Linked DNA regions of Saccharomyces cerevisiae S288C. The gene in region 3 interacts genetically with the main gene of each other region. Each region holds a gene or a part of one and is shown on either strand. Other genes may lie near its edges.

The links.
Region 1: mutations in SER2 (region 3) and MNN10 together harm fitness more than expected from each alone (negative genetic interaction), as found in Saccharomyces cerevisiae (4 studies listed by BioGRID).
Region 2: mutations in SER2 (region 3) and HPT1 together harm fitness more than expected from each alone (negative genetic interaction), as found in Saccharomyces cerevisiae (3 studies listed by BioGRID).
Region 4: mutations in SER2 (region 3) and FCY2 together harm fitness more than expected from each alone (negative genetic interaction), as found in Saccharomyces cerevisiae (3 studies listed by BioGRID).

The regions. Positions count from the first base shown.
Region 1 is NC_001136.10:950,621-954,481, forward strand, and holds MNN10 (alpha-1,6-mannosyltransferase), read left to right. Parts: upstream 1-2,179; coding exon 2,180-3,361; downstream 3,362-3,861. Other genes in the region: PEX5 (Pex5p), read left to right, coding at 1-1,781; TRAPP subunit TRS23, read left to right, coding at 3,668-3,861. UniProt on the Saccharomyces cerevisiae protein: Required for polarized growth and efficient budding. The M-Pol II complex possesses alpha-1,6-mannosyltransferase activity and is probably involved in the elongation of the mannan backbone of N-linked glycans on cell wall and periplasmic proteins.
Region 2 is NC_001136.10:1,268,040-1,271,628, forward strand, and holds HPT1 (hypoxanthine phosphoribosyltransferase), read left to right. Parts: upstream 1-2,028; coding exon 2,029-2,694; downstream 2,695-3,589. Other genes in the region: UTP5 (Utp5p), read left to right, coding at 1-1,363; URH1 (trifunctional uridine nucleosidase/nicotinamide riboside hydrolase/nicotinic acid riboside hydrolase), read left to right, coding at 3,024-3,589. UniProt on the Saccharomyces cerevisiae protein: Converts guanine to guanosine monophosphate, and hypoxanthine to inosine monophosphate. Transfers the 5-phosphoribosyl group from 5-phosphoribosylpyrophosphate onto the purine.
Region 3 is NC_001139.9:909,619-913,533, forward strand, and holds SER2 (phosphoserine phosphatase), read left to right. Parts: upstream 1-2,264; coding exon 2,265-3,194; downstream 3,195-3,915. Other genes in the region: TDA10 (putative ATP-dependent kinase), read left to right, coding at 1-467; ubiquitin-binding ESCRT-I subunit protein MVB12, read left to right, coding at 814-1,119; CIR1 (Cir1p), read right to left, coding at 1,225-2,010; thioredoxin TRX2, read right to left, coding at 3,295-3,609; YGR210C (uncharacterized protein), read right to left, coding at 3,885-3,915.
Region 4 is NC_001137.3:265,798-270,393, reverse strand, and holds FCY2 (purine-cytosine permease), read left to right. Parts: upstream 1-2,280; coding exon 2,281-3,882; downstream 3,883-4,596. Other genes in the region: 60S ribosomal protein eL34 RPL34A, read left to right, coding at 209-245, 643-971. UniProt on the Saccharomyces cerevisiae protein: This permease has a broad specificity towards purines, and also transport cytosine and 5-methylcytosine but neither uracil nor thymine.

The DNA.
Region 1 (3,861 bases), on a different chromosome or scaffold from region 3:
CTCAGCAGAACAAATCGCTTCAGTTTAATCAGAAGAATAATGGGCGTCTTAATGAGTCACCTCTACAGGGTACCAACAAGCCAGGTATTAGTGAGGCTTTTATATCCAATGTTAATGCTATTTCACAAGAAAACATGGCGAATATGCAAAGGTTCATAAACGGAGAACCACTGATCGATGATAAAAGAAGAATGGAAATAGGGCCATCCTCAGGCAGGCTTCCACCTTTTTCAAACGTACATTCTCTACAGACTTCAGCAAACCCAACCCAAATTAAGGGAGTGAACGATATATCTCATTGGTCACAGGAATTTCAAGGTAGTAATAGTATTCAAAATAGAAACGCGGATACAGGAAATTCAGAAAAGGCATGGCAGCGTGGCTCAACAACCGCATCAAGCCGGTTTCAGTACCCTAATACCATGATGAATAACTATGCTTATGCTTCTATGAACAGTCTTAGTGGATCAAGGCTCCAATCGCCTGCTTTCATGAATCAACAACAGTCTGGTCGTTCTAAAGAAGGAGTCAATGAGCAAGAACAACAACCCTGGACAGATCAGTTTGAAAAGCTGGAAAAAGAAGTCTCAGAAAACTTGGACATAAATGATGAAATAGAGAAGGAGGAAAATGTGAGTGAAGTAGAACAAAACAAACCAGAAACTGTTGAGAAGGAAGAAGGAGTATATGGAGATCAGTATCAATCTGATTTCCAAGAAGTGTGGGATAGCATACACAAGGACGCTGAAGAAGTCTTGCCATCCGAATTAGTTAATGATGACCTCAATCTAGGAGAAGACTACTTGAAATATCTCGGCGGTAGAGTAAATGGGAACATCGAGTATGCTTTTCAATCTAACAACGAATATTTTAATAATCCTAATGCTTATAAAATTGGCTGCCTACTGATGGAAAACGGAGCCAAATTGAGCGAGGCAGCGCTAGCATTTGAAGCTGCTGTTAAAGAAAAACCGGACCATGTGGATGCATGGCTAAGATTGGGTCTAGTACAAACCCAGAATGAAAAAGAGTTGAACGGCATAAGCGCCCTCGAAGAATGTTTAAAGTTAGACCCAAAGAATCTGGAGGCAATGAAAACTTTAGCGATAAGTTATATAAACGAAGGTTATGATATGAGCGCCTTCACAATGCTGGATAAATGGGCAGAAACTAAGTACCCGGAAATTTGGTCAAGGATCAAGCAACAAGATGACAAATTTCAAAAAGAGAAAGGGTTTACCCATATTGATATGAACGCTCATATCACAAAGCAATTTTTGCAACTAGCAAACAATTTAAGCACAATAGATCCTGAAATACAACTATGCTTGGGTCTCTTATTTTACACGAAAGATGATTTTGACAAAACCATAGATTGCTTTGAAAGTGCGTTGAGGGTGAATCCTAATGACGAACTCATGTGGAATAGATTAGGGGCTTCATTGGCCAATTCCAATAGATCAGAGGAAGCAATCCAAGCCTATCATAGGGCACTACAACTAAAACCTTCTTTTGTTAGAGCTCGCTATAATCTGGCGGTATCATCCATGAATATAGGCTGTTTCAAAGAAGCAGCAGGCTACTTATTAAGTGTTCTAAGTATGCATGAAGTGAACACTAATAATAAAAAAGGAGACGTTGGATCTCTCTTGAATACGTACAATGATACTGTTATAGAGACTTTGAAGAGAGTTTTTATAGCGATGAATAGAGATGATTTACTTCAAGAAGTGAAGCCAGGCATGGACCTGAAAAGATTTAAAGGAGAATTTTCGTTTTGATATGGTTCTCCGCAATTTTATGTTCTCGCATCACTGCCCAAATTCATTAGCATTAGCAGTACAAGCTATCCTATATATAAGGCAATAAAAAATCTTATAAATACTATCAGCAAGATTTCAACCTTGGAAAACATGCATTCAAAGGTCATAATTGCTGCTCTATTTACAGTCGTCCATAATGACATTTCTCTTTGATTATTTTCTTGTTTTTTCGCTCTTCTCAAGTGGATGTTACATAACAAACAAAACAGAAAAAATTGTTTAAATATAAAGTTTAAAAGTTATCTTTGATTCCGCACCTGAATTTTTGGATTGAAGGCCAAAGGAGGTTTATCAGGGAGAGAAAAGCTCTCTATTTATTTTTATAAGGAATAATTGTGCATGTACAACTATACAATATGTCTAGTGTACCTTATAATTCCCAACTTCCTATATCCAACCATCTAGAGTACGATGAAGATGAAAAGAAGAGCAGAGGCTCAAAACTAGGCCTGAAATATAAAATGATATACTGGAGGAAAACTTTATGCAGTTCGCTAGCGAGATGGAGAAAGCTAATACTATTAATATCTTTAGCTTTGTTTTTATTCATATGGATAAGCGATTCCACCATAAGCAGAAATCCATCTACCACAAGTTTTCAAGGCCAAAATAGTAACGATAATAAGTTGAGTAATACTGGTTCTAGCATCAACTCCAAAAGATATGTACCACCATATTCTAAGAGATCAAGATGGTCGTTTTGGAATCAAGATCCTAGGATTGTCATTATATTAGCGGCAAACGAAGGTGGTGGTGTATTGAGGTGGAAAAATGAGCAAGAATGGGCTATCGAAGGCATATCAATAGAAAATAAGAAGGCCTATGCGAAGAGACATGGATATGCGTTGACTATCAAGGATTTGACAACGTCCAAAAGATACTCTCACGAATACAGAGAGGGTTGGCAAAAAGTAGATATATTGAGACAGACGTTCAGGGAGTTTCCTAATGCAGAATGGTTCTGGTGGTTGGACCTGGATACTATGATAATGGAGCCTTCTAAATCATTAGAAGAACATATTTTCGACAGATTGGAAACTCTGGCTGACAGAGAATTGAAAAGTTTTAATCCCCTAAACCTAAGAGACGACATACCCTATGTCGATTATTCAGAGGAAATGGAGTTTCTAATAACACAAGATTGTGGAGGCTTCAATTTGGGCTCATTTCTGATAAAAAATAGCGAATGGTCTAAGCTGCTTCTAGATATGTGGTGGGACCCCGTTCTGTATGAACAAAAACATATGGTTTGGGAACATAGAGAACAAGATGCGTTAGAGGCATTATATGAAAACGAACCGTGGATTCGTTCGAGAATAGGATTTTTGCCCTTAAGAACGATCAATGCATTCCCACCGGGAGCATGCTCTGAATACAGTGGTGACTCAAGATACTTTTACAGTGAGAAAGACCATGATTTTGTTGTGAATATGGCCGGATGCAATTTTGGCAGAGATTGCTGGGGCGAGATGCAGTACTACACCACTTTAATGGAAAAACTGAATAGGAAATGGTACACGAGATTTTTCTTCCCATAAAATGGAAGTTATCAATATTGTAAAGAGAAGCATTTACAAGCTTTTATTTTTCTTTTTAATTTCCACTACTGGTTCTGCTTTAAAATGTTGTTTTATAATTTATGTACATTTAGGCCTATAGAAGATTCTTTCAATAATATGCTACACATTCTTTTATTTTTCCATCATATGTTGGAGTTTATGCCTCCTCGGCAGGAGTTGGGCGGTGCGAAGAGAAGAAAAAGAGTGAAACTAAAAAAAGGAATCTGCCTTTGCATAAGTTCAAAAGTGCAATTTTAGTGTTGGATTTAAACGGGAAAAATTGAAATGGCCATCGAAACAATACTTGTAATAAACAAATCAGGCGGACTAATCTATCAGCGGAATTTTACCAACGACGAACAGAAATTGAACAGCAATGAATACTTAATTCTTGCTAGTACACTGCACGGTGTATTCGCCATCGCGAGCCAGCTGACTCCGAAGGCATTACAGCTAACTCAACAAACGAACATCGAAAA
Region 2 (3,589 bases), on a different chromosome or scaffold from region 3:
AGTGTCCACATTGCAAGTTATAACTAATGAATTTTTCATATCAGGCGCAGAGGGTGATAGATTCTTGAACGTATATGATATTCATTCCGGTATGACCAAATGCGTCCTTGTGGCTGAATCAGATATCAAGGAGTTATCTCATTCAGGCCAAGCCGATTCTATCGCAGTCACTACCGAGGATGGTAGCTTGGAAATTTTTGTTGATCCATTGGTATCGAGTTCAACAAAGAAAAGAGGCAACAAGTCCAAAAAATCCAGCAAAAAGATTCAAATCGTCAGTAAAGACGGCAGGAAAGTTCCAATTTATAACGCATTTATTAATAAAGACCTTTTGAACGTATCGTGGTTACAAAATGCTACTATGCCTTACTTCAAGAACTTGCAGTGGAGAGAAATCCCTAATGAATATACCGTCGAAATTTCCCTAAATTGGAATAATAAAAATAAGTCCGCCGATCGCGATCTACACGGTAAAGATCTTGCCTCAGCCACCAACTACGTGGAAGGTAATGCAAGAGTCACCTCTGGAGATAACTTCAAGCATGTTGATGACGCTATAAAGAGCTGGGAAAGAGAATTGACTTCTTTGGAACAAGAACAGGCCAAGCCCCCACAGGCCAATGAACTATTAACAGAAACATTTGGTGATAAGCTAGAATCAAGCACCGTCGCAAGGATTAGTGGGAAAAAAACAAATTTAAAAGGTTCCAATCTCAAGACTGCTACGACAACCGGGACGGTAACAGTAATTCTGTCGCAAGCACTACAATCAAATGATCATTCACTGTTGGAAACAGTGCTCAATAATCGTGACGAGAGGGTCATTAGGGATACTATCTTCCGTCTGAAACCAGCACTGGCTGTCATTCTCTTAGAAAGGTTGGCAGAGAGGATTGCAAGACAAACCCACCGTCAAGGCCCATTGAATGTTTGGGTAAAATGGTGTTTAATCATACACGGTGGCTATTTGGTTTCTATTCCAAATTTGATGTCTACTCTATCGTCGTTACATTCCACCTTGAAAAGGCGTTCCGACTTATTACCAAGGCTACTAGCACTGGATGCAAGGTTAGACTGTACTATAAATAAATTCAAAACTTTGAACTATGAAGCAGGCGACATCCACTCATCCGAACCAGTTGTCGAAGAGGACGAAGACGACGTTGAATATAACGAAGAACTCGATGATGCCGGCCTTATAGAGGACGGTGAAGAATCTTATGGCAGTGAAGAAGAAGAAGAAGGTGATAGTGACAACGAAGAGGAACAGAAGCATACCTCATCTAAGCAAGATGGCCGTTTAGAAACGGAGCAGAGCGACGGCGAGGAGGAAGCCGGATATAGTGACGTTGAGATGGAATAGAGGATATCATGCATAAAATGCTTTCACGCATCAGAATACAAAAATAATCTCTAGGCACATAAATACTTATATAGAGTTCACCACATAATGTAAGAAAAGAAAAAAGAAAAAAAAAGATCACGAAAGTATCCCACGCGAAGAAGATCTGTCAAAAGACCCCCACAATCGTTTATCCTTTTTGAACTGCATCTGGCATCGTTAACAGTAAGGCCATCTGGAACATCAAGCAAGCACTCCACTTTTACGTCACAACCATAGTTGGTTAACTAAGAAAAGACAGTACATATTTCCCTTCCGAGTCACTTATTTTTTTTTTCTTCTGAAAAAATTAATTAGATTAATTTCAATTAATATCATTTCCGCTTATCTGACTTCTTTCATTTTTTTTCTCTATATTTCGCGTTTACTAGGAAAGAAAAGGAAAAAAAATTTTTCCCCCTCCATCTGTCCCAAATCGGGTAGCGATGAGCTGCTATAGAATTTTCTATTTAAACATGTTTGATAAGCCCAATTTCCGTTAGATTTTGTTCCCCCTTCGCAGTTTGGTTTGCCGTAACTTTTTTATTTTAGTCTCCATCTAGCTGGAGTAATACGATGTAGTGCCTTGTAATCTTTCTTATTTTTATATTACCGTTCGTGTTCATTATATCCATTACGTTCCCATAATGTCGGCAAACGATAAGCAATACATCTCGTACAACAACGTACATCAACTATGTCAAGTATCCGCTGAGAGAATTAAGAATTTCAAGCCGGACTTAATCATTGCCATTGGTGGTGGTGGTTTCATTCCTGCTAGGATCCTACGTACGTTCCTAAAGGAGCCCGGCGTGCCAACCATCAGAATTTTTGCTATTATTTTGTCTTTGTACGAAGATTTGAACAGTGTAGGCTCAGAAGTTGAGGAAGTTGGTGTTAAGGTTAGCAGAACACAATGGATTGATTACGAGCAATGTAAATTAGATCTAGTCGGCAAGAACGTTCTTATCGTTGACGAAGTCGATGACACCCGTACCACACTTCATTACGCTTTGAGTGAATTGGAAAAGGATGCAGCTGAACAGGCAAAGGCTAAAGGTATCGATACTGAAAAGTCTCCAGAGATGAAAACAAACTTCGGGATTTTTGTTCTACACGATAAGCAAAAACCAAAGAAAGCAGATTTGCCTGCCGAAATGTTGAATGACAAGAACCGTTATTTTGCAGCTAAAACTGTTCCAGACAAGTGGTATGCATATCCATGGGAATCTACTGACATTGTTTTCCATACTAGAATGGCTATTGAACAGGGCAATGACATCTTTATTCCTGAGCAGGAACACAAGCAATGATAGACATATCATATCCTTCAGTAACTTGAATCATACAGCAGAATTTGTACAATAGACAACGCATATAACTGCGACCATATGTATACGTATAACTAATTATTATCTCAAAGTTTATTCCCTTAGCCTCACCGGTAACCTGTGAGGCGCGATTACGTTTTCCCTCTGTTCACCACCACGTAACGCGATATTTGACACATACGTGACAACTACTTTTGATGGAATCTGCTGATTTTTTTACCTCACGAAACTTATTAAAACAGATAATTTCCCTCATCTGCAAGGTTGGGGAAGGGTTGGACAGCAATAACCAGCGACTGTTTGAAGAAAAGATGACTGTTAGTAAAATACCCATATGGCTAGATTGTGATCCTGGTCATGATGATGCCATAGCCATTTTATTAGGCTGTTTCCATCCAGCTTTCAATCTTCTAGGAATCAGCACGTGTTTTGGTAACGCACCGCCAGAGAATACTGACTACAACGCCCGTTCTCTTTTGACTGCGATGGGCAAAGCACAAGCGATTCCAGTTTATAAAGGCGCACAGAGACCTTGGAAAAGGGAACCTCATTATGCTCCTGACATTCATGGTATATCAGGTTTAGACGGCACTTCTTTGCTACCTAAGCCAACATTTGAGGCAAGAACTGATAAAACGTATATTGAGGCCATTGAAGAGGCGATTCTAGCTAACAATGGAGAGATATCCTTTGTGTCTACTGGTGCACTTACCACATTAGCAACAGTTTTTAGGTGTAAACCATACCTAAAAAAATCTGTCAAATATATTAGCATTATGGGGGGTGGACTCCATGGTCTAGGAAACTGTAACCCAAATCTTTCTGCTGAATTCAACGTTTGGATTGATCCTGACGCAGCGAATTACATATTCCGTGA
Region 3 (3,915 bases):
TTAAAGGAGAAGGGGACCGTTGCCCCACTGGTCAAAAAATCAAGCTACCAGTCGATATTTTTATCTTAGAAGGTTGGTTCCTCGGGTTCAACCCCATTTTGCAAGGAATTGAGAATAATGATCTTCTTACTGGGGACATGGTTGATGTCAATGCCAAGCTCTTCTTCTATAGCGACTTGTTGTGGCGCAACCCAGAAATCAAATCTTTAGGGATAGTATTCACCACCGATAACATTAACAATGTTTATGGCTGGAGACTACAACAGGAGCATGAACTAATATCAAAGGTCGGAAAGGGGATGACCGACGAACAAGTGCATGCTTTTGTGGATAGATACATGCCCTCCTATAAACTTTATTTGAACGACTTTGTCCGGAGTGAAAGTTTAGGTTCCATTGCTACATTGACGTTAGGAATCGACTCCAACAGGAATGTATATTCTACGAAAACGAGATGTATTGAATAGTGATGTTATGACCTTTTTTTTTACGCCTTTTTTTTTTTTTTTTTTTTTTTTAATTTATCTCACTTTTCCCTTCTATTTTATGTACTAACAGATAATTTTATAATGATTTCATGTATTTTTGGTTCAGAATTTTGACAAGGCAACTCTTGAATAATTGTCGTATGCAAAAAAAATTGTTTATCTGTTACATATCCATCATAAAACTTTTATAGAGCTTTTATTGTCCTTCTTATACAAATACCGTTCAGAGGCTGTCCGAGATTTAAGCGGTTTTGGAAAAATTACTGCTATTAATTAAGATTAAAAAGGAAAGGAAAATAGCAATGGGAGCTTATCGCATAAAAAAATGAACAATAATGTTGAAGAACTCCTACGGCGTATTCCCCTCTACAACAAATATGGTAAGGATTTTCCACAAGAAACAGTGACTAGGTTTCAGATGCCTGAATTTAAGTTACCAGCGCTACAACCAACAAGGGACTTATTATGCCCTTGGTACGAAGAATGTGACAATATCACCAAAGTCTGTCAGTTACATGATTCTTCTAATAAGAAATTCGATCAGTGGTACAAGGAGCAATATCTGAGTAAAAAACCACCGGGAATTGTTGGAAACACACTATTATCTCCATCAAGAAAGGATAATTCCTAGTTAAATTGCATTTCGATATCTATGTACACATATACAGCAATTTTTTTTTATAAACCTTAGTAATATTATCAGTTTTCATTTTATGTCATTTGACCTTTGTTGCATTTAAATGGCCTTAACTTCTTTTAACTTTTCAATCAATTCATCCACAGAATTCAATTTCACACCAGGTGACTTAGTCTTTGGCTCTTCCATCGACACTATCTTTAACTGAGGTTCAATATTAATTTCAGGAAAATCTTTTGCTATATCCAATTTTTCAATAGGCTTTTTCTTCGCCTTCATTAGTTTGGGCAGTCCTACGTAACGCGGAGTGTTCAATCTCAAATCTGTAGTAATAACCATTGGTAAGGAAGCTTCAATTACTTCTTCTCCATCGTCAATTTCTCTTGTTACCTGAACTCTACCATTATCAAGGAATTCCACCTTTGCCGCATTTGTTGCCTGTGGCCAATTTAATAAACCTGCCAACATCTGACCGGTGTTGTTACAGTCATCATCAATGGCTTGCTTTCCCATCAAAACCAGATTAGAACCCTTCTTTTCAACAACAGCTTTTAAGATTTTAGCAATTGCTAAGGGCTCTATGTTTTCTTTACCCACAGAGTCAATTAAACTACAGGTGTCTATTCCCTTAGCAAGGCAATTTCTTAGAATATCCTGAGCTTTGGCGGAGCCAATAGAAACTGCATGCGTAGATTCTACTAAACTCTTGTTCTTTTCTTTAATTCTGATGGCTTCTTCGACAGCAATATCATCGAAAGGGTTGATACTGAATTTGATTCCACTGGTTTCAATCCCAGTTAAGGTCTTATTTACTCTAGGCTTGATCTGGAAATCAACTACCCTTTTCACCGGAACTAATATACGTAGTTGCTGTTTTGCAGACATTTTTATTACTCTTTCTGATACTTGATTATCGGGGTTATTGATCCTAGTGTGTCTTGACAACGTTTCTCGAATCAGGATTATTTTACACCGAGAAAGAAAGAGTCAATACTAATAATCTCGAAAGATCTTCAAGTGAAAAATAAAAAAAAATGATAAATAAAAAATAGAAACTATGAAACTATGTAAAAAAAAAACAAATAGACATATCCAAGCAAGTCCAATAGCATAGACATTAAGCACGACAGCTGTAAAAAATGTCAAAGTTTGTTATCACCTGCATAGCTCATGGAGAAAATCTCCCAAAAGAAACCATCGACCAGATTGCGAAAGAAATTACTGAAAGCTCGGCGAAAGATGTATCAATCAATGGTACCAAGAAACTATCGGCCAGAGCTACCGATATATTCATTGAAGTCGCAGGATCGATTGTTCAAAAAGACCTCAAGAATAAGCTGACGAACGTCATTGACAGTCATAATGATGTTGATGTTATTGTTTCTGTCGACAATGAATATCGTCAAGCCAAAAAGCTCTTTGTCTTTGACATGGATTCAACATTAATCTACCAAGAGGTCATCGAATTGATTGCCGCTTATGCTGGTGTTGAAGAACAAGTGCACGAGATCACAGAAAGAGCCATGAACAATGAACTTGATTTCAAAGAGTCTTTAAGAGAACGCGTTAAATTATTGCAAGGCCTCCAAGTCGATACACTATATGATGAAATAAAACAAAAGCTAGAGGTCACCAAGGGTGTGCCAGAACTATGCAAGTTCCTTCACAAAAAAAATTGCAAGCTCGCTGTTTTAAGCGGTGGTTTTATTCAGTTTGCCGGTTTTATCAAGGATCAGTTAGGTTTAGATTTTTGTAAGGCAAACTTGTTGGAAGTTGACACTGATGGAAAATTAACCGGTAAAACACTGGGTCCTATCGTAGACGGACAGTGCAAGAGTGAAACCCTTCTGCAACTATGTAATGACTACAATGTTCCAGTTGAAGCAAGTTGTATGGTGGGTGACGGTGGTAACGACCTGCCAGCCATGGCTACCGCCGGGTTTGGGATCGCATGGAACGCCAAGCCAAAGGTGCAGAAAGCTGCACCTTGTAAGTTGAATACCAAGAGCATGACTGACATTTTATACATTCTTGGTTACACCGATGATGAAATATACAATAGACAATGAAGAAAATAATGATAGATAGATGTAATAGAGTTTCTTTTTAAAATTGTTTATTTAAACTGGTAAACATGATGTACTTTACGTAGCGTTAATATACCGGCAACTATACGTTGGAAGCAATAGCTTGCTTGATAGCAGCTGGGTTGGCACCGACGACTCTGGTAACCTCCTTACCGCCCTTGTAGAAGATTAGGGTAGGCATGGAAGAAACTTCAGCTTTTTGAGCAACATCTGAGACTTCATCAACATCCAACTTGTAAAAAGCAGCGTCAGAATATTGTTCTGCAAACTTTTCAATCATTGGTGCAATCATTTTACATGGCCCACACCATGTGGCAAAAAAGTCAACAACGACTAACTTGTCGCCAGATGCTAAAGCACTGTCGTATTCAGAAGCGGATTTTAATTGAGTGACCATTATTGATGTGTTATTTAAAGATATCGTAGACTCTCGTGTATGTGTGCGTGTATAATTCTTGCTAGACAACAAATAAAAACTGGTCCTCGTTATTCTCTTGTCAGCTTTTCATCCCCCGAATGGCTTTCTTATATACTGATATCCCTCTTTCGGCTGGCTGGAAACTGAACGCGCTTAGTAAGAAAAGAGCCACCTTGTAGGGAGCATCCTTTACTAAGAGTATAAACAATTACACATATACTTTGATGATTACTTAATATTCACTGGCACTCAAGTTATGCTGATCTTGGAGCGATCTTGAAGCCG
Region 4 (4,596 bases), on a different chromosome or scaffold from region 3:
CCGTCATTTTCTACTGAGCCAAGGCGATTCTGGTAGTTACTCGCGCTTGGTCCCCTACCAACGAGTCGCCTGGTCGACGCTTCCTCCGTGTAATTTCGTGAGCCTAGGCGCAGAGGATATTATCTAGAAGGAATTGAAATATTATAGATTAATTACGCTTAGTGTTAAACGGTATTAACGTGTAGACTGCATAACAGAACAACCAAAGATGGCCCAACGTGTTACTTTCAGAAGAAGAAATCCATGTATGTTAAAGGCACACTTATAAATTACGAGAAATTCTGACGAGATGATGATTATTCAACTAAAAAAGAGCAAGAGAGGAGAGGATACCATGTCAGGGGTCCTAGTATAGTTATCAAAAGCAATTTACCCCGTTTTTGTAATCCACTATCAATAACTTATTCTGCGCGAAATATTGTGTCCAGAAATAATACAATATTAGTAGCAATGAGAAGAAAAACGATAGTTAATAAGAGCAGCCACTTTTAACCCTGATACTGACTAGAGCTAATAATCTCAATCTGTGTTACGAAAATTTCTTTTAAAGTTTTCTCGAACTCCTTCCTATTGAAACATTTCGTACTAACATATTTTTCAAATGAGAAAGTATACCAACTTTCTGAAAACATTTTCAAATAGACAACACCCGTTCTAACAAAATCAAGGTTGTTAAGACCCCAGGTGGTATTTTGCGTGCCCAACATGTCAAGAAGTTAGCTACCAGACCAAAGTGTGGTGACTGTGGTAGCGCTTTGCAAGGTATCTCTACTTTGAGACCAAGACAATACGCCACTGTTTCCAAGACCCACAAGACTGTTTCCAGAGCTTACGGTGGTTCCAGATGTGCCAACTGTGTTAAGGAAAGAATTATTAGAGCTTTCTTGATCGAAGAACAAAAAATTGTCAAGAAGGTTGTCAAGGAACAAACCGAAGCTGCCAAGAAATCTGAAAAGAAGGCTAAGAAATAAACTTTAAGAAAATGTTACTTTTCTTATGTACCTAATTAACTGTTTTATATAAAGCACGAATAAAAATAATTCATATCACAAGAAAACTTTCATGGCTCTAGCGCTCTATGAATAATGCTTTTTGTAATGTTGTCGAGCTACTATTTCTTCATTAATCATCGTCATCCATAGCCATGGGAATTTAGTAGTCAATCGCCTGTCCAACTGTAGACGACGTAACTCTGCTATAAAAAAGACCTGTTCATATTTTATTTTTTTTTTTTCATGTGCCACGAACAATTTAATGTATGGGAATACAACTGCAAAAGAAAAAATCAAAAAAAGAAATCACACACCACAAACACCAAACATTATGCCAGAAGCTTTCGCCAAATCCTGCGTCGATTAATTTAATGTGAACACCACCTCAGATCTAACACTGATGAAAAGCCTTACAAATCTCAACACATCTTTTCCTTTATGAAGAAGAGTGCCTTGCACAACCATACATACAGGAACTTGATAAAGCCTACAGATAAAATCCAAGTGGAAAGTAAACAAAAAATCCTAGAGAATGCTCGCTGAAAAAAAAAAAGATGTCAAGACAGATTACGTCGTAAATTCAGCCACTTTCAACCAAGTTTCCGTAATCATATTAATTTCTGAAATTAATTAATCTAACGTATCTCATATCTTTTTTAAGTGATTTACCTGTGGAGAACAGCAAAGAGGTCATCCAAGACAGAAAATCGATGGATACTGGTCTTATTCGGTCAAAGTGACTGCAATACTCCTCTGCGGATTTGCTTAGTGTTAGAAAATCGAGCGGCATGTTTTCTTTTGTCACCAATGGAACGGCCTCAAGGAACTAAATATCAGTCGATTTTATCGCCTTTCCCGAGTGGGGGGCGTATTCGTACAAATTGACTCTTTTTCAGAAATGTCTGCCGCCCGCGTTCGGTCATTAATGCACAGCTTTATCGCGATTGCCATTGACTTCTACGTACATATAGTTGCTACGTCTTCGCCTTATCAATAAATAATTATGAGTCTTTAATTTCTTTTTTTTCATTGTCAGAATTTTTCATGTCCTTTTTTTTTTTTTTTTCTCGATGATCAAGATGTTAGGGAACCAACCAAGATAATGGTTTTAATATAAATATCCATTAAAAATATTTAGACAGTAAAATAGTGGTGAGTCTAAAACGCGTTGGAGGCATTTTTCTTTGAAATGTAGATAAGTAAGCTTAACTGTAATAGTATTCACAACAATATCCATATAAATTTCGCATATAAAACATCCTATCCTCTATTATAACGATTTATAAGAATGTTGGAAGAGGGAAATAATGTTTACGAAATCCAAGACTTGGAGAAGAGATCTCCTGTAATAGGCTCAAGCTTGGAAAACGAAAAGAAGGTAGCCGCTTCTGAAACTTTCACAGCAACTTCCGAAGATGACCAACAGTATATCGTTGAATCATCAGAGGCCACAAAATTATCGTGGTTCCATAAGTTCTTTGCCAGTTTGAATGCAGAAACAAAGGGTGTTGAACCAGTTACAGAGGATGAAAAAACGGACGATTCCATACTGAATGCTGCGTCCATGTGGTTTTCAGCTAATATGGTCATTGCATCATATGCTTTGGGTGCCTTAGGACCCATGGTGTTCGGTCTAAATTTTGGTCAAAGTGTTTTAGTTATCATATTTTTCAATATAATGGGGTTGATATTTGTTGCGTTCTTTTCTGTCTTTGGTGCAGAACTGGGCTTAAGACAGATGATTTTATCAAGATATCTGGTTGGTAATGTAACGGCAAGAATTTTCTCTCTTATTAACGTTATTGCTTGTGTCGGTTGGGGTATTGTGAATACCTCAGTATCCGCACAACTGCTGAATATGGTGAATGAAGGCTCCGGCCACGTCTGTCCTATTTGGGCCGGTTGTCTGATCATTATTGGTGGTACCGTGCTTGTGACTTTTTTTGGTTACAGTGTCATTCATGCATACGAGAAATGGTCATGGGTACCCAATTTTGCCGTCTTTTTGGTTATTATTGCCCAACTATCGAGATCAGGAAAGTTTAAAGGTGGTGAATGGGTAGGAGGTGCAACTACTGCAGGTAGTGTTCTTTCTTTTGGTTCATCTATTTTCGGTTTTGCCGCAGGATGGACGACCTATGCAGCTGACTACACTGTTTATATGCCAAAGAGTACAAACAAGTACAAGATTTTTTTCTCCCTAGTTGCTGGTCTAGCGTTCCCTCTATTTTTCACCATGATTCTTGGTGCTGCTTCTGCTATGGCTGCTCTTAATGACCCAACCTGGAAGGCATATTATGACAAAAATGCTATGGGTGGTGTCATATATGCTATCCTGGTTCCTAACTCTCTGAACGGATTTGGTCAATTCTGCTGCGTTTTGTTAGCTCTGTCCACTATTGCAAATAATATTCCAAATATGTATACTGTTGCTTTATCCGCTCAAGCTTTGTGGGCACCTTTGGCTAAAATACCAAGAGTAGTCTGGACAATGGCAGGTAATGCTGCCACTTTAGGTATTTCCATCCCTGCTACCTATTACTTTGATGGCTTTATGGAGAATTTCATGGATTCTATCGGTTACTACTTAGCTATTTACATTGCCATCTCATGTTCAGAACATTTCTTCTACAGACGTTCCTTCAGTGCTTACAATATTGATGATTGGGATAATTGGGAGCATCTACCTATCGGTATCGCAGGTACTGCTGCCTTAATTGTTGGTGCCTTCGGTGTTGCATTGGGTATGTGTCAAACCTATTGGGTTGGTGAAATTGGCCGCTTAATTGGTAAATATGGTGGTGACATTGGGTTCGAGTTGGGTGCAAGTTGGGCCTTCATCATCTACAACATCTTAAGACCTTTAGAATTAAAATACTTCGGTCGTTAGGAAGTAATGATTAGGGCGATCATTTCCCCGTGCACATTTCACGTCATGTATCATAGATGCAATTTCATGTAAACTATTTAGACATCTCATTTAATAAAAATAGCTACAAACTGTATTTTACAATATTAGTAACATATCAAAGATAATCTCTATGGTATATACAAAACTTCAAAAATGCCAAGACAATTTGCACGGCTGCGACCTAATTGAGACTTTGTGGCCTGCATATCAGTCTTACAATAAAAGCCAAAAAGAAAAAAAAAAAGTAAGAATGCACAGGTGACTAGTGGTTATGTGACTATGTGAACGTAAAGAGAACGAGATGTAACCCGGCAACCCGGCTAGAGAGGTTGTTTAGCATGCGAGGTATTAGACTCCTTGTCAAAAAATTAATTAAAATATTTATTAGTTAATTTATTAGTTGCAAAGTCATTGATAACAGCGTGACTCTTCCCGGAAATTCTTTCATTTCGGCATTTCGAAGCGAGACCGCAAAACACGTGTACGCACGTAGCCAACGATTGAAAAAAAAAGCTTCCAAGTGAGTCACCTCTACCGTTGGAACTTATAAAATATTTTTGCAGAATATACTCGCCTGAAAGTCCATTTATACGCAGTGAACTGCAAGTATTTACCGTCTAAACTTTGGCATTTTACTCCTATTAACGGTTTGAATCTTTGAAAATAGAAAAGAAAGGATAGGTTTCTAAAAAA